Linked DNA regions of Canis lupus familiaris. The protein of the gene in region 3 interacts with the protein of the main gene of each other region in a pairwise test. Links are inferred from orthologs where the notes say so. Each region holds a gene or a part of one and is shown on either strand. Other genes may lie near its edges.

Evidence for each region. The genes of interacting proteins can lie anywhere in the genome.
Region 1: the proteins of CCDC136 (region 3) and KAT5 interact in binary tests that used the Homo sapiens proteins (3 or more experiments, as listed by UniProt). The two-hybrid records come from large-scale screens. The link is inferred for Canis lupus familiaris from reciprocal best matches to the Homo sapiens genes CCDC136 and KAT5.
Region 2: the proteins of CCDC136 (region 3) and CDK2AP1 interact in binary tests that used the Homo sapiens proteins (3 or more experiments, as listed by UniProt). The two-hybrid records come from large-scale screens. The link is inferred for Canis lupus familiaris from reciprocal best matches to the Homo sapiens genes CCDC136 and CDK2AP1.

Annotation. Positions count from the first base shown.
Region 1 is NC_049239.1:52,001,965-52,007,037, forward strand, and holds part of KAT5 (histone acetyltransferase KAT5), read right to left. Parts: intron 4,484-5,073; coding exon 4,235-4,483; intron 4,158-4,234; coding exon 4,068-4,157; intron 2,696-4,067; coding exon 2,555-2,695; intron 2,477-2,554; coding exon 2,383-2,476; intron 1,608-2,382; exon of another isoform or gene 648-1,607; coding exon of another isoform or gene 537-647; intron 375-536; coding exon 215-374; intron 91-214; coding exon 9-90; intron 1-8. Other genes in the region: RNASEH2C (ribonuclease H2 subunit C), read left to right, coding at 537-647. UniProt on the Homo sapiens protein: Catalytic subunit of the NuA4 histone acetyltransferase complex, a multiprotein complex involved in transcriptional activation of select genes principally by acetylation of nucleosomal histones H2A and H4.
Region 2 is NC_049247.1:6,513,868-6,519,791, reverse strand, and holds part of CDK2AP1 (cyclin-dependent kinase 2-associated protein 1), read right to left. Parts: intron 3,614-5,924; exon of another isoform or gene 3,285-3,613; intron 3,184-3,284; coding exon 3,086-3,183; intron 2,540-3,085; exon of another isoform or gene 2,387-2,539; intron 1,570-2,386; coding exon 1,443-1,569; intron 1-1,442. UniProt on the Homo sapiens protein: Inhibitor of cyclin-dependent kinase CDK2. Also acts as a component of the histone deacetylase NuRD complex which participates in the remodeling of chromatin.
Region 3 is NC_049235.1:7,691,420-7,697,343, forward strand, and holds part of CCDC136 (coiled-coil domain-containing protein 136), read right to left. Parts: intron 4,504-5,924; coding exon 4,309-4,503; intron 3,814-4,308; coding exon 3,586-3,813; intron 2,139-3,585; coding exon 1,638-2,138; intron 1,305-1,637; coding exon 1,083-1,304; intron 32-1,082; coding exon 1-31. UniProt on the Homo sapiens protein: May play a role in acrosome formation in spermatogenesis and in fertilization.

The sequences.
Region 1 (5,073 bases), on a different chromosome or scaffold from region 3:
CTCCCTACCTTGTAGTAGTTGATGAGATTGAGGTACTGTAGAGTAGAAATGACATCTTCCTTCTTGATGCTGGTGATTTCACTGATCTCGCTGTGGGAGGACAAGGATCAGGTCCTCTGGAGGCCTTCCTCTCTGCCCCAAGCCCCCAGGAGCCCCAGGAATGAGGATGGGCCATGCCATGCACCCCCAGGGTCAGAGGTAGGGCCAGGCTCACTTGATGGTGATCTGTGGCCTCTCCCCGCTCTCTGACTTCAGCCCCATCAGGATCTCCAGGATGGTCTGGGACCAGTAGCTTCGGTAGGATAGGAGGCCAAGGTCTGAGAGGGGCTTCTCAGGGGTCCCCGTTTTCCCTTCCACTTTGGAGAGTTCATAGCCTACAGCAAGGCAGCAAGAAGGGGTGGGTAAGCGATCACACCTTCATGCAACTTTCAGAATATGGTTACAGGAGTAAACTGCCTGGTTCCCATCTCACCCTTGCCATGTGGTAGTTCTGTGACCTGACATACGTAGCTAGTCTGCTGTGTCTGTTTCCCCAGAGAGCTAATGAGCATTCACTCTTCATCTCTGTGCTGTGGAGGGTACTGAAAGGAACAGCTATAATCCACCTGGAGAAAAACTCAGGAACCAGGGAAGTGCAGAGAAAATGACAAGAAAGGCAAGTGCCTGATTTTCATCATTCCAGACCATATCTCCTGGGTATGTGAGAAGGGAAGGCAGCCCCCACGTGTGGTCTGGGCCTCAGGATGTCTGGATTTGCAGTCAAGTCAGTCCCCCTAGCTGTGACCTGGGGAGCATTGGCTGCTCCAGGACCAGGCTGGCCTGACTAGGTGTTGATAAGAAGCAAGGAGAGGCACTAATGTACTTCCCAGGTCAGAAGGCGGCCATTCCACAGCAGGTAACTCACCTCTCCAGAGGCACTCTCCGACTGCTCTGTCCTCCTCTACCCTGCTGATTACTGGGCACTAGCAGGCAGTTCCTAGGGAGCCCCTCAGGCTGTGCAAAATCCTATATGGCTTCGTGTCTCTTGGCAGAGTCTTCATTCTCTCCCTCAGGGTCCTGGGGTGTCCTTCATTACCTCTATAAGCCCTTCTTCACCCTCAGTCACAGCTATGTAGGCTCACAGCCCTTTTTGCCTACCCCTCCCAATCTTTATCAGCTAGTCTTGCCCAATCTTCTGTGACTTCCACCAAGCAGCCTGCTGGGGAGAGGGACAGAAAAGCTCCTGCTTTAGAGAAAGGAAGCCTGGAAGAGGAAGGGAGCACACCTGGGTCCCTACTTGACTTTGCTGGGCCTGCCAGTGCATGTGGGATCCTGCCACATCAGCCTCCCCAGCTGCAAGGAGCTCCTGGCCCCTCCCCAGTGAACATCCACCTGCCCTCAAGAACTGCCCGGAATGGGCACTCCCAGTGCACCTGTCTGCTCCTGCTGGGCAGAAGTGAGCACATCACATTGGTGTCCTTGCCCACATCCTATCTCCATGGAGGTCTGAGCTTCAAGGCTTGGATTCATTTTAAGTATCCGCCCACATATCAGGCTGAGGGCTTCCTGAGAATGTGACCCCATCTTGGCATCATTCTATTAATAAAATAACTCAAATGGATCATGACCTTATCAAGTCAAGCCACTGTGACTTCACCAAACAGCTAAGGCTCCCTCCTGTCTCTCAGGTCAGAACTTAACTATCCCAAGGGTTCAGTGAGTGGTGAGTTGAGTGGAGTGATGTAAGATGCTGGGAAGCAAAAGGGGGCCTTGCGGGTGGGGGACATAGAAGAGTTCACGGATGATGAGGGGCAGAGTCCCTTGTGGGCTTTAAGAGACTGACCTGCCTGAATCCAAGGAGCAGAGACCAAATCCACACAAATCAGTGCTTCCTTATTTTTGCTGAGTTAACATCACTTTAGCATTTTGAGCATCCACTATCTGCAAGGCTCAGGTTACAGCTGGGATAATGAAGCACTGGTCCTCACTCAGGAATTTGTATGGTGGCATATGAAGCACTGGTCCTCACTTAGGAATTTCTATGGTGGCACAGAACCAGGCAGATGAGCAACAGTGGCTCACCTGGTTTCTGCTGATGGCTCCCTGGATGGGAGCATATGAGTCAGATTTGTGAAAAGTTGGGTGGTGCTTAGAACCTCACCCAAGGAAGAGTGAGGAGCTGAAAACCTAGCCCAGACAAGCAGGGTAGTTGCCCTGAGAATGGAGAAAGCCTTGGGAGAGTCCCACCTTTATTTCTGGCCAGCTACCCTGGTGACAGCAGGGTTAACAATCATAGCAACCTAGCTTGTCTACAAGGGAGGCACAATGGCAGCACTGGCACTGAGCCTGGGCCCGCATGTACCCACCCCGGGGCCCCTGGCCGGGAGCAAAGGTACTACTCACTGAACTCGATCAGCAGCTTGCCGTAGCCCCGGCGCTGGTAGGGAGGCAGGGTCAGGATGCAGGCCACATTGTAGTCTTCTGTGGATTCCTTTTCCTGGAAAGGGGAGGAAGGTGAGTGAGGAGGGGACACAGCTCAGGGCAGGGCCAAGAGATGATCTGGATGAGCACTCACCTTGGAGAAGTAGCCGACGATGTGGAAGCCCTTGCAATCATACTCTGTCATGACATAGAAGAGGAAGGGATCTGTATCATAGTACAATGTCTTGTGGTCGAGGAAACACTTGGCCAAAAGACACAGGTTCTGGGAATAACTCTGCAAAGGAAAAGGCGTGTCACCACTCTGGGTACCCTGTCTTAAATGTGGTCATTTGGTTTCTTTACCCAGGGCTGATAGATGATGAGTCTTCCTCCCTGGCACCTGACCCGTTCTATTAGGCTGTCCCTCCTACTCAGGCAGAGCTAATTCTCAGAGTCAAGGAGCCCATGTACCAGCTCTGTGATAGTGTCTGACCTCCTGTCTTGCTGGTGAGCTGGGCAAGTTTACCCCTGTTCCCCATACCTCCCCCTAAGTCTTGTCTGGGGGGTTTCCACTGCTCTCTGCTGCAGTAACAAAAGTCAGTAGGTTGTGGCATGTCTAGAAAGACACTGCCAAGGCTTAGGAGAGGACCTCTACCCTGGTGACAGTCTTAGGAATCTACCTTTTAAAAACCACAAAACTAAAAAAATAAAAATAAAAAAAAATAAAAAATAAAAACCACAAAACTCTCCCGCCTCCAGTCACACATACTGGAGACTGATCTCCTAACCTACAATGGAGATCAGGTGTTCTGAAACTGAAAGTAACTGCCTTAGGGGTCTCCCCACCAAAAGGATTCATCTTGCTGCTTTGCTTTACCTCTATACACATTTTCTGCATATGAGGCATGACTTTTTAGCCAGATGCTGGGCCATCAGGATGCCCAAGTCCACACAGAACAGTAGTGAAAGCAGCCTCCTTCCCTTGAGCTTCCTCAGCACCCAGGCCAGAGCTCTACCCTGTAATTCAAGATGCCCTGCTTCTCCCTTACTGCCCCCTCTTTGCCCCAGGAATGGTCCCACAGTCTTAACGGTCCAGATTACTCCCTTCTTCCTTCCCACAGACTAAGGCAGGTTTGAAGCCCAAAACCTGCAGTGACCCCTACTCCTCCCCCAACTGGCCACCTTCTCCCCACCTGAGCTCTGTATCTTGGAACAGCCTTGCCTCATCCTCTCTGCTTCTCAGCCAGAATGATCTTTACCTTTCCCACCATCTGTACATCCACGACTGCCCTTCAGAACCCCACTCCTTGGGCTTCCCTTACCTATCTTATCCTTCATGTTAAGGATCAAAGATCATCTCCTATGTGAAACTGCTGGCTACCTCTGGGTCCTGATAACCCATCCTTTGTTTCATGACACTTATCCCTGGGATCTGAGTGGATGTTGGCAGATCTGTTTTTGCCATGAACTGTGAACTCAAAGATTCTAATTACTGGTCATCTTTATACCTCCCACTAACTACCTCACAGCAGAAACTCAATAAAAATGGAATGAGCTAATCTGTTGGCCAGACTGCCTAGTATTTTCCTGAGCAGGAAAAAGCTGCTCGTTTAACTTCCCCCAGACCACCAGTGCCAATGACTCCCCACTGCCCCTCAGCCACAGACCTTGTTCTTCCGTCCATCAATCTCAAAGAAAGAGATGGTACCCTTGCGGTAAATCTCATTGCCTGGGGGGTGTCGCAGGTCACACTTGGTCTGAGGAAGAGAGGAGGATCAGAGGCAGGGACAGGGTGGGGGATGGTAGTAAAGCAACCTCCTTGGACCCTTCATACCAAGTGACGCTGCAGACACTTGAGACTACGGCCGTATTTGAGGCAGAACTCGCAGAGGTAGAGGACGGGCAATGTGGTAAGTTCCTGTGGGTATGGGGAGAAGTACCACGGCTTCAGGCGGTGCCGGCCCAGCTCGATACACTCAATGTTCTTCATCCGGGTGACAATGTCGTCGTGGCTGCGGTCAGACACCAAGCTGCCAGTCATGCGTGGAGCGGACGGTATTCCATCTGAGCTGTCCTGGGAATCCTGCCCAGGCCCAGTGGAAAACACCAGGTTACAGAAGACAGCTCAAGCAGGACACCCGACAGCTCACACAACCCTTACATAGCTTTCCTTATTTTCAAAGTGTAACAACAACTCTATGGCAGAGGAAGAAAAAGGCTGGTACTACATTGTATTCCCCACTTTCCAGATAAGGGAAGGGAAACTAGGTAAATTATCAATTGCACTTTGAAAAAGATCACCAATGACTGATCTGAATCAGCTTTGCCTGGCTCCTAATCCTGCCAAAAACCATCACTGCCTACCACCTCTTGTTTATTTTTTTAAGTTTACTTATTTATGTATTTTTAAAGTTTTTTTTTTTCTTTAAGATTTTATTTATTCATGAGACAGAGAGACAAGCAGAGACATAGGCAGAGGGAGAAGCAGGCTCCATGTAGGGAGCCCGACATGGGACTTGATGCCGGTCTCCAGGATCACACCCTGGGCTGAAGACAGTGCTAAACCGCTGAGCCACTCGGGCTGCCCTATTTTTAAAGATTTTATTTATTTATTCATGACAGACACAGAGAGAGAGAGGCAGACACACAGGCAGTGGGAGAAGCGGGCTCCAT
Region 2 (5,924 bases), on a different chromosome or scaffold from region 3:
TGTACTTGGCTACTAGTTAGTGTGACTGGGTGACCAGCTGTTCATGGGACACATGTCCCAGAGTGGTCATTAGACATATCCATAGGCTAACCTGAACCACTGGTTCTTTTTGGTGACTGCAAATCGCCTGTTCGACTTCAAGGTCCAGTACCTTTTTTTAAAATTTTTTTTAAAGATTTTATTTACTTATTCATGAGAGACACAGAGAGAGAGGCAGAAACAGCAGAAGCAGACTCCATGCAAGGAGTCCAATATGGGACTCAATCCTGGGACTCCAGGATCACGCCCTGAGCCGAAGGCAGACGCTCAACTGCTGAGCCACCCAGGTGTCCTAAGGTCCAGCATCTTTCCAGGGGTTCTCACTCAGGTAACCATGACTCCAGGTGCCAGGACTGTCTTGCTTCCCCTGACTCCAAACAGCAGCCCAGATGCAGAGTGACGCCCACCGGCCCCCCAGGGGTGGGTCGGGGTTAACCCCACCTCTATCAAGCCCTCTCGGGGTCCAGCCTCTGTCAGCTCCCCTCCCCCAGGTCAGGCCTTACTTCCTCAGTAAAAGGAGTAAAAGCACCCGGCCAGCCAGCCAATCTGTCCATGAAAGCTTGGTAAACAGCAGCAAAGCCCACTGCTATGGGCAGGAGCCTTGCCTACCACGGTAGGGTCACAGCCTCCGCAGCAGCCCCTCTTTACATCCCAGGTTAACTTCAGACTTGCCTCTCCAAACTTCTGAATAAACGCCAGATCCTTTCTGAAATTAAATTCGTACCTAGGCCACTGCTGCTCCGAATTGCCACCTTCTAAAACAGAAATCATCTTCTTCCCTCCACCCCATTTACTTCCTGAGGTAGCAGCCGATTTCACCTCCCCCTGGAATCAGCTGGTCAGTCACATCTTCACATGAGTCACTGGTTTTCTGTGACACCATATTCCTACCCCCCCTTCCATCCTCAATCATGAAGGAATTTCAGTGTTCCTGCTCTCCCTTCCCAGACTAAGATAGACCCATTGGCCTCTTGGGCTCCGCTCCAAAGAGCTGACAACAGAGGGCAACACAGGACCCAGGACCTGGCTACTTCTTGTCCCTGACCCACTCAGAGAAGGAAGCCTGGTGCATTTGTCCTCCTGCGGCTCCCTGGGACCAGTACCAGCCAACAGGAGCAGAGCAAGCAACAGAGAAAGCTACAGGATCTGGCCTGTAAAGATTCTGTTCTTAAAGCCCATGGACCTTCCCAAGGAGCACGCAAAGCCTTCCCGTCAGATCCCAAGGACAGTCTACACCCCATGACCGGCCCATTCCTGCCCCTGCTGATGCTTCCACAGATTAACCAAACAGGAGCCCCACGGGGCATAGAGCATTCACGCCCCCCTCTGGAAACCTCTCACAACAGTTAGCACCCAGCAGGGAGGCAGCACCCAGCAGGGGGTGTCTGGATCCCGCTACTTACCTCGTTTTAGTCTCTCCATGGCGCTCTTGCTCCCTGCATAGGTGGGTCTAATCTCTTTCCCCAACTCTTCAATGATGGCCAGCAGCTCAGCATATTTGCTTTGGGGTACCTGGCTGTTCCCAGTTCCCTAAAATCAGAAGAAGTTTAAATGGATTGAACCCTATCCTGATCCTAAGGCCACGGTCAGGACCCTACCACATGCCAGCCACAGCGAGGGCAGGGCACAGGGAGAAGCCCACCGAGAGGCAGTGGCTGGAGGCAGGGCAGCCTGGCCTAGGTTCCCAGAGCTTCTGCCTCTGCTGGAACCGGCCACACGCTGAGAAATAACCACTGACCAGAAACCTGGGCCTTTCTACTGTCCTCCTACACTCAAGGAAACCACTAGCAGCCTCCAGAAGGTTTTAATCATCTTAAATGAGTAAAAGGACTGGTTTGTCTCAGCAAGTACTGGGTGCTTCCTAGGATCCAGGTGGATGCACCATCCCAGGGGAATGACAGTGGACAAGCTGTGGGCCATACCGTGGGGTCTGGAGAACTATAAATAATTGCCAAAGACCATCTGGACAGAATGTGTTTCCACTTACCCATCCTCCCCCTGCCAGCAGGGCCCACCCCAAAAAACCTGTTTTTCTATAAGCCCTCCCCCTCCACGGCCCAAGTATGCACCCAATGAGTGAGGCTGGGTCCCCGCAGCCCCCCCACAAGGCCCTCGCCTGCTCCTTCCTCCTCTGTTGCCGCTGTCTCCTGGCCTCCAGGGCCTTTCTCCTGTCCTTGCCCAGCTCCTCAGTGCCCTCCCAGTGCCGCCTCTTGGCCTGGTGGTCTTCCCGCCACCGCTGCTTCTTCTGGCGCTCCCGCTCCTGGGACAGCAGGGCCTGGTGGGGCATGGCCAGCCATCCCCCACTCCCAGAGACAGCCTCCATGGCAACCTCAGAAGGTGGCCACGTTCCAATTGTGGCAGAGAACCCCAGGACAGGCTGGCAGGCACTGAGGCGGGGGCCTGGCCGGGTCCCTCCACCCGTGACAGGCAGTAAGGCCAGGGCCAGTGCCGACCCCACTTGCCAGTGAGGAACAGATCTCTGCAAGGCTGCCAAGCAGGGGTCAGTCTTGTAGGTAGCAGAACCGTATAGAGTCCCCCTGCAGCTTGGCTCCAGGGCCACCAGTTCCTGACAAAGCCCATCTGGGCTCCGGAAGAGATGGGTCCTGTCCCCCTCTATGCTGGGGTGGTGACCTTGTGGGGAGTGAGTGGGAACGGGGCTCCCCTCTCCTCTGCCCCGGCTCAGATCCAGGGCCCAGGTCAGGCCTTACTTCCTCAGGAATGCGGTACAGAGACTCCCGTCACCCCCCACCATAGGGACACATGTGGGTGGTGGCCCCAACAGGACCTGTGGCACTCAGGTCTCCCTGTCCCCCATCTCTTGGTGTCCCCATGAAACACCCTGCCACTCCTCTGTTCTGATGCCTCAAGGCTTGAATATGTACCACCCAGGGCCGGAGCTTCAGGAAGTTCAGACACTGTTTCATCCCATCACCTCTACTCCTTGGTTGTTCTCACCAGCTCTCTCCCCTCCCTGGAGGGTGAGAAGCATGTCCCCTCCATGCCCAGACCAGCCCCAGAGCCCCCCAATCCCCGCCCAAGGCTGTACCTGGGTATAACCTAGAGATGGTGGCCCGTAGTCACTCAGCAGCTGGCGGTACTGGGAGGATGTGGCCATACTGGTGGAGGGCGGGTGGACACTCCCAGCTGTGGAGGAGAACCAAAGCATCAGGGATCATATAGTTGTACACAGAGCAGAGACCCCCTGCCTGGGACCCACAACAAACAGCAGCCTTTCGTCTTCATAGGACGGAGACCCTCTCCTGTCCTCTGTTTGGTGATGGCCGATGCTCAGCCCAGACAATAGTAAAAGGGAGCTAACAGGTCACTGCTCTTCATATCCACCATCACGGCAGACATCGCTCATCAATCACAGAACTCCTCCCCATCTGCGCAGTCTGGACTGGTAGCAACGATGAAGTCTACTGCTGTTCTTGGCCTAATCCTTGCTAGTCCCTTCTCTCGGGGTCCCGTTCCCCAGAGATGGATGACCTGGACCCAAATCACTGCCACAAGAGCCCACCTGCTACTGAGGCTGCTCCATATCCTCTCCGCCCAAATCTCTGCCAGGCATACGGTAAGAAGACAGGGCGTTCAGAGCATCTGAGACCTAACCCTGGCCAGAGATTGGTTCACTGGACACGAAGTCAGGAATCTGAAATATATCAGTCTCTCTGGGGGGTCCTCAGGAGCCTCTCAATCTCCCTGAGCCCCTCCAAAGAGGCGACGGGATTCTACAGCCCTCCAAAGAGGCGACTGTCGGATTCTACGCCTGGATGGATCACATCCAAAGAGGGGAGGGCTAAGGCCCCGCTTAGGGACTGCACTCAGACACACCGTCCCTCAGCTGTGAGGGACCATATGGGGACAGGGCCCGGCTAAGAATGGAGTCTCTTGGATGGGGGTGGGGAGTCACCAGCAGGGCATTTCCCGGCTCCAGCTCAGTAGCTGGAAGCCTGCAGACCCATAATGGCGTCCAAGTGGCCATTAGCGGGTAGAGGATGTCCTGCAGAATTACAAACAGCGGTAACCATGGAGAATTTACCTAGCCCTCCTCAGCAGCCGCCCGCCTGCCTCCACGCCCAGTCGAGGAGCAGCTCCCCCTCTGCCTGCCGCCCCCAGAGCCAAACGGTCTCTCATGCACACGGCAGACTACGCAGACTTGGCCCTGGGGATGGACAGCTGGTGCCAGGCTGGCCAAACCGACCAGCTGCTCATCTGGTGTGAGCAGGGGAGGGGAAAAGGAGGGAGGAGGCTCGGGAGCTCAGGCTGGTGGAGTGGAAGGGCCCTAGGGGAGCCCTGGAGCCCCTCACTGTAAAGACACAGTCTGGCGAGGGTGGGTGTTCCCCTGAGCCACATGGCACAGAAGAGGCTAGCACCCCGACAGCCATCCCTCTGTCCAGGAGCTGGGGACAGCTCGTACCCAAGATGTCTTCCTTGCTTTCTTTCGGGGCCTGTCATGGATCTCACCTCCCCCCACTCCAACCCAGAGCCCAGGTTTAGGATCAAATAGGGAGTGCCCAGCCAGGAACAGGGATTTTGCCAGCTGGGAGGCAACTGGATTTTGCCAGTTGGGAGGTGGGCACACCCCTGGGGCACTCTGAGGCACAGACAGCAGGCCTTGAAGTGGGGACGGGAATATACCTGTGCTGCAGGGGCAGACTGGTCAGCATGGGGAGGAACTGGGAACACATCTGTGACCTCCCTCCAAAACAACCTCAGATGTGCAGTGGCCAGAGCACAGGAACGGAGCAGGGTGGGTGCCCCCCCAAGCACCCCTCACCACAGCGGCCAGACCCCAACTCCCTGCACCTTGTGATGAGGGCAGTGAATGTGGTCTTTGCAGCCCCAGACCTGGGTTCCAGTCCTGACCACTCCAAGATATCACACCTCTCTGGAAGGCCAGGCTGCTGAATGCAAGACCAGGGGAGGAGTATGCAGCCCTGCACAGCACCAAAGTGTCTAGGAGATTCCAGTTCCTAGGCAGGAGGGGAGCAGGACTCAGGAGTGCATTCCCTGCACCATCCTTAGCCCTCACCTCTTGTTGCTTGTCATGGTTTCTTGCCTCCCTGCCTCCCAGTCCCATCCATCTGAGCTCCTACAGACAAGGGCGTGGACCAGAAGGCGGTCTGGCTGTGCCACTCCTGGCTGTGTGACCTTGGATGAGGCCCTTCCCTCTCTGGGCCTCAGTTTCTCTATCTGTTTGGGGCAATGATTCCCAACACAATGTCTAAAGGCCTACATCCCACTCTTCCATGGGGCAAGGGTTAGGTCTTGCGAGGCCAAGGGAGAGGGAGGAGAAATCTCCTGGTTTGGGTCGGGTAATAGCTCGGGGCTTGCCTTTCCCATCACCATGTGATGTGGTAGGTGACCCCAATTCCGTGTCAGTGCCAGTCCCTTACTCTTTGTTGAAAAGGCGGGGGGGAGATGTGGCCCTGGAGAGAGATGGCAGAAGGGCCCTGAGTTCTACTCATGCCCACGCACTTCGGCAGACACAGGGAGGGCCAGAGCATGAGGCTGCAGGAGGCCAGGGAGAAAACCAGACTGGGCGTGAGCACGACAGTCTCTGAGCATCACAGACAATGCACGCAGTGTGCAGGGACCAGGGAGGGCCCGAGCCGAGGGAGGGATTGGCAGAGGCCAGCAGCTCCTGGGGCCAGGCGCAGCTCCCCGCCCCCACGCCAGACAAAGAGCGGCCTGGGCCTGGGGAGCTGGCGGCCTTCCCGCCACTTGGGGCGCCTGGGGGGGGGTGTGCTCTCCGGCGGGGAGGCGGGGGCTTTGTCTAACTCCGCCACTGCCACCGCCGGCCAGGCCGCGGCTTGGCAACCCGCGAGCAGGAGGCAGGGCTGGAGGGCGTGAGGGATGATGACAAGGAAGCCTGAGGAGCG
Region 3 (5,924 bases):
GCTCCCGCAGCTTAGTCTGCAGCTCTTTGATCTGCCGGGGTTGGGGGGCAGAGGGCCAGTCAGCCGCAGCCTGGCCTAGTCAGTCAGCTGGAGCCCTGCCTGGGGGTCACTCCCAGTGTGTGCCTTGCCAAGGCCCAAGGGGGAGTAGACGAGAGGAAATTTTAAACTGCAGGATACGAGTCTCTATTGCAGTTTCACAAATAGGCTCTGAATGAGGTACCTGACGGTTTACACCTAACGTGATCCAAAAAGGATGATTTAAGTTATGTTTTTACTGTGACCTGTCTGGGGAAGAACTATAGGGCTACCTTTTCTGAACCTCGGGGCTTTATTACAGATAATCTTTCTGATGGAAACTCTTACTTTGCCCAAGCTATTTCTCTATTAACTACCTAAGGAACCGTGTGGTCCACTCCTGAGAGCGTGCCTGGACTCCTACACCTCACCCTGGAAACATAGGCAAATTCCAATGCTGCTCTCTAATTTCTGGTTTTGTCTTTCCTGACTTCTGGCATCACTTCTGGTTGCCCTGGTAGGTACCAATACTAAGCAACCTAGGCCCACGTGCTGGCTGCTCTCTGAACTCTCCTGTGTGCACATGGTGAGCTCTGCTGGACTGTGGACTACTCCTGGGTTTAGAAAGACTGCCTTCTGTCCCATCCCTCACAGATGCACAGCACCCTTCTTGGCATAATGAGATCTGAAAGGAGGCAAGCCTCTATCCTCAAGGTGCTCACAATCTAGCTGAAGAGACCCCAAATAACTAAAGGTGAAAAAATACAACTCCACAGAAGTGTTCTGGGACCTACAAAGGAGAGAGATGGTAAAAGGACAAAGAGAAAAGCTATTCAGAGTTTTGATGATGAGTAACTCTCAGCACAGTGAGCACTGAGCAGTGTCCATCAGGGCTGATGGGCTGCAGCTCCTGCTCTGCTCCTCTGACCAGGAAGGGGGCGACTATGCAGAGCAAGCAGTGAGCTCCCAGCCCTCTTTCCTCAGTCTCTCCAAAATGGCTGTGACCTATGACCTCCTCTGGCTCTAGGAATTCCTAGAAGAAACCTGGCCTCCTAGATAGCAGTTACCTCATTCTTGTCGTTTGGGGAGGCAGTGGGCTTCTCAAGGCTTTCTATGCACTCCTTGAATTCCTTTTCACAGGCGTCCAGCTCTTCCTTCAGCTCTTTCTGCCTGTCCAGCAGCTTTTTCATCTGCTCTTGCAGCCGATCATGTTCCTCCTGGCTGAGCTGGTACATGGCCTGCACCCCCTGCAGCTTGATCACCACCTTGGCAACCATGTCCTCACAGTGCTGCGGAGGGTGGAGGAGTAATGACCGCACCCAGGGGAGGACCTGCCCTCCGCCCCACTCTCTTTGCTAGGCCCTTACCTGGGTACAGAACAATGGCGGCAAGGATCTGAAGCTGCCCAGGGGCTAATTCTGTATTTCCTCCCATAAAGCACCATCGCTGTGATGGGAGCATCTCCATATTAGACAGGTGGAGTGCCTTGTTCATTTCCAGTGACCCAGCTCAGCCCTGACCCCGCTGCCCACCTCACTTCTTGCACCCTTCACTGGTGACTTATCTCTTAGTAAGACAAGAAACTTCTCTCCCTGGCTGACCTCTCCTTTGGCTACTTTTACCTCTGTATCTTCAGGCCCAGCAAGCTCATCGTCAGTGCTGCTGATGTAACTCTTGTAACAGGTGTCAGAACTACTACTGCTGCCGTAACTCTTCTTATAGGTAACGCTGCTGCTGCTGCTGCTGCAATAACTCTTCTCAAAGTTCTCATGGGCACTGGAGCCGCTGTCATAGCTCTTGAGAAAGCTCTCATTGCTGGCCTGAGTGCTCCCAAAACTCTTGTGATAGCTCTCACTGTCATCAATGCTACTATAACTCCGGCGACAGTTCTCGTTGACAGTCGCCATATCGCCGTAGGTCTTGTAGGACTCCAGGCTCATTTTTATGGAAGGGGACTGGCCCTGGAGCAGCTGCATTTCTTCCAGGCAGAGCTGTAGGTCGGCCTGCAGCCTCTTCCGCTCCTCGAGGAGCCTTCCCTGCTCCTGCTGCAGTAGCTCCTGCTCGGTCTGAGTCCCCTCATACAGCACCTGCAGAGCCTGAATCTGGGCGATGATCATCTTGGACTGCCGGGAGTGGGTGGGGAGACATTACTAACACTCCAGATACTGCCATCCTTCTAGCTGCACCCTTCCTGGGACAGATGTCTGAGATGCACTTCAGGGACCCGTACACCTACACTCATTTCACCATGGCCTAGGTCTTTAACAGCCTGCAGCTACTGGCACATGTCAGTTTCTCACACTGGGGATAATCTTCCCAGGGCAGATATTTTATGGTTCCCAGGCTCCCGTTCCTGCTGGTTTCTAAACTCTGGTACATCCGTCTCTCCATGCAGCAGAGCTGAGTCAGTATCAAGAACACTCTGCCTCCCTCCCCTCCCGTCTTCTCAGTCAGGATATACCCATTATATCCTAACCCTGGGGCTCAGTCCCCTCCCCTATTCCCAATTCTAAAATCAGCCCTGGCCTTGAATGTGAGCAATGTGAGCCTACAAGAATTCCTCCTTCAGAAGATGTGGACCTGGAATTAAGGTCTCACTACAAGTCCCTGTACCTCCTGTCCCAATTCTGAATCTGGCCTCTGGGCATGTTTCCCAGGCCCTCTGCGCCTGGCTTCTTGGCTGCTAATGCCCAGGGTGAGATCTGATCAGTTAAAGAAATAGTTATACCTGGTTCCTGGTCAGTGTTATCCATGCTGAAATCTGATGCCCTTGGAATCTGACCAAATCTGTTTGGACTTCTGCAATTTCCTGGTTCTCCCTATCTAGGCTAATATCTGAATGAATAGGGCTAGCCTAAATTGGAACTCTCTACCTGCTCTTCCCTGCTCACCCTGAGACCTCAGACCAAAGGCATCCCTTAATCCTGAAGAGACTTGTGCAGAAGTCTCCACCAGTGTGACCTCAGAGGCATGGCCCCTTCTTGGTGTTTGAGATGCATGGATTCTCTAGTCTAACCCCCATCACATGGCTCTTACTGCCACCAAAGTTCCAATGAAGATAATGTGGTCAGTACCAAGAATGCCACATGCTAGGAATTCTTCCCTTGGAAATGAATGGCCCCAGATTTGTGGCAGGTAGAACACCAAAAAGTGATAGATTTTGATCACTGGAAAGTATACTGCTCAATTATCAACCAGCTCATGAGAAAGGAATGACATGCTCAGAGTCAGTCCCAAGGAATCCAGACAAACACTAAATTGATACTTTAAATCTGGAAAATGATGTTGAAGGGGCTGCATCAAATTATCAAGTGATTAGATTCCTGGGTTACCCCCAGTTCTCAGTGTTCACAGCACTTCAACTGAGCATGTACCTGATTGAGGTCCTCAGGCCATAGCTAAAGCCACATCTTAATGAGCCTGTGGGTGGGCACGGCTGAAGGAGGGGGCCTCAGGCTCATTCTTACACTTGGCCAGACAGGCCTTCCTGACTTTGACCCTTCCATGGAGACCTCTTCCCTACCATGCTGCTGTCCCAGGAACTGTCTCCCCACCTCTTGTTCTGGTTACCTTGTTCTGACCACACTTGGAGGACTTAGGTGATTTGGAATCATCGGGCTTCTCCAACACATCCCGGAAACGAGACTCTTTGAAATGATGCAGCTCCTCATGCAGCTCTGACTGTTCTTTGAGCACACACTCTTGATTCTGCACCAGTTTTTTCTGCTCTTCCTGCATACCTTGGTAGAGCAGCTGTAGTTCACACAGGTCTTGTAACTTTGTAAGTAGCTCCTGACTCTGTAAGGTGGAGTGGGAAGGAAGCAGGCAGGAACCGTGGTAGCTACATAGAAGACCCATGCCTCCTCCTTCCTGCTGGGGACCCTTCCCTTAGGAGTCTCTGGGTTGGCTCTGAACAGCCATCTGGGATGGGGTTGGTGTGGTGGGGGAGTGGTCCTTCTGTGGAGACCTGCTAGGTGAGTAGTCATGATCTCGTATGGTGCAGGCATTCTGTAGTTTACAAAGTTCTCTCAGAGTATATTTTATCCAGTTGGACTAAAAATCTAAGGAGAAAATGCTGGGCAGGTTCCAGAGTACAATATGTATTTTAAGATTTAAAACCTACTCAGCTATACTCAATTTTTTGGTTTGAAGAGTCAGTGACCAAAGTAAGCCATGGCTGACTGAGAAAAGGTTTGATCCCCACCCTGATCTTTTCCCCAAGTATAGTCACACCTCAGAAGCTTCTCGAAGCAGCTTCTCCCTAGTCAGCAGCCATTCCCTGGCTGGGGTTACCTTAGGGATGAGACCAGTTTTGGGCAGTGGGAACGTGAGCCTGTGCAGCTCTTCCTGCAGCTGCCCCTGCTCCTCCTGCATCCTCCTCTGATCCTCCAGGAGCTCACACTGCTCCATCTGCAGCTGCGCCATCTCCTTCTGGCTGGCCTTGTACTTTTCCTGCAATTCTGTGAGTCTGGACAGCAGTGTGTCACACTGTGGAGGGGGTGGTTACTCTGTGAGGCATTTCTCTGCACTGTCCAGCAAGCAGAGCCCTTCTGTGCTCTCCTGCATCTTGTGGTTCACCAGAGGCTCCCTCCCTGTATGGTCCCCTTGGACTGACAGTCCCAAGCCATGCTGCACCCGTGAGGGTTTAGACACCAAATGGGAAACCCCAGCAGGCTGCTCAGGACTGTCCGGTTATGCTGTAAATTTCGTCTTCTGGCCCCTTCTGAGAGCCCTGTGAAGGGAGTGTTAACAACACCCCTCCCTTCTCAGGTCCCCACCTTCCTTTCCTTTGGCCCTTCCCTTTGGTAAAGATCATTCTCCTGCCCTGCTGGGAGTTCTGGTTCCTGTCACTGTTACCAACCCCAGTTGGTTTTATACCTAATTATACTTCTTACCAATAAAAACTCCACCCGATTTGTCCCCATTTTTGTTTTCATTATCATTTTTTTAAATATCTAGAAAAATATGGGCTACTGCTGAATTTGGATTGAAAAGACTAAATTATCCCATGATTCCATGAAACCAAACCTTCTAATATCGAATTCATCTCAATGCTGTTTTAGGACAAGAGGAAAAGCTGGCTCTGTGTCAGCGAGCTGGCTCCCTCTCTGTAGTCTCTTCTACTAGGAGAGGAGAGGGTGAGCAAGTCATAGACACTCTGGCCTCTAGACTGAGTGGGAATGGAAGAAGAAAATGTGAACCTGGGCATAGAGAGGCAGGTGGACCATTGGGGTGGTCCAGATAAGCTCCCCATTCTGGGTCTTCCAAAGGCTTTTCCCTGGGGACACAGCCTGCTGCTGGCTGTGATAGGAGCCACTGAGTATTCCGGCAAAAGGTGACTTGCTCTACCATACTTTGAGAATCTCGTGCCTTTTCTCCATCATGTTTCAACATCTTCCATTTCCTATCAGTGATCAGGAGCTGAAAGTGCTCAACACAAGGTCTAAGGATAACTGATAATGACTTGCATTTTATACACTATGGAAAAAAAGAAAATAAGGAAAGCCTCACTTATCACTACCAGGATTTATTATTAAAAGCAAGTAAGAAGGGAATAGTATTCTGTTCAATTTAAAGAGGGTAAAACTCAAGCTTAGAGAACTTCTCTATTCTGAAGTCACAGAGGAAACCTTAGAAGAGCCTAGGTCCTTCTAATATCCAATCAGCACCCTGGTCTAGTTGCACAAGACCACATCACCTGACAAGAGCATCTGCAATCTGCCTGAGAAAACTGGACCTTCTCTTTCTAGGTCTAATGATAAAAGTTGCACATGTGGGCTTTTCTGTATGTTCTCTGCAAATTACAAGATATCACTATAAGTTCTAATAACAAGGTCTAAGTGTCTACACATATGGAATCACATGCAAAACCCTCAGGTGTTCAGACTGGATGCAGCTGCACTGATCCT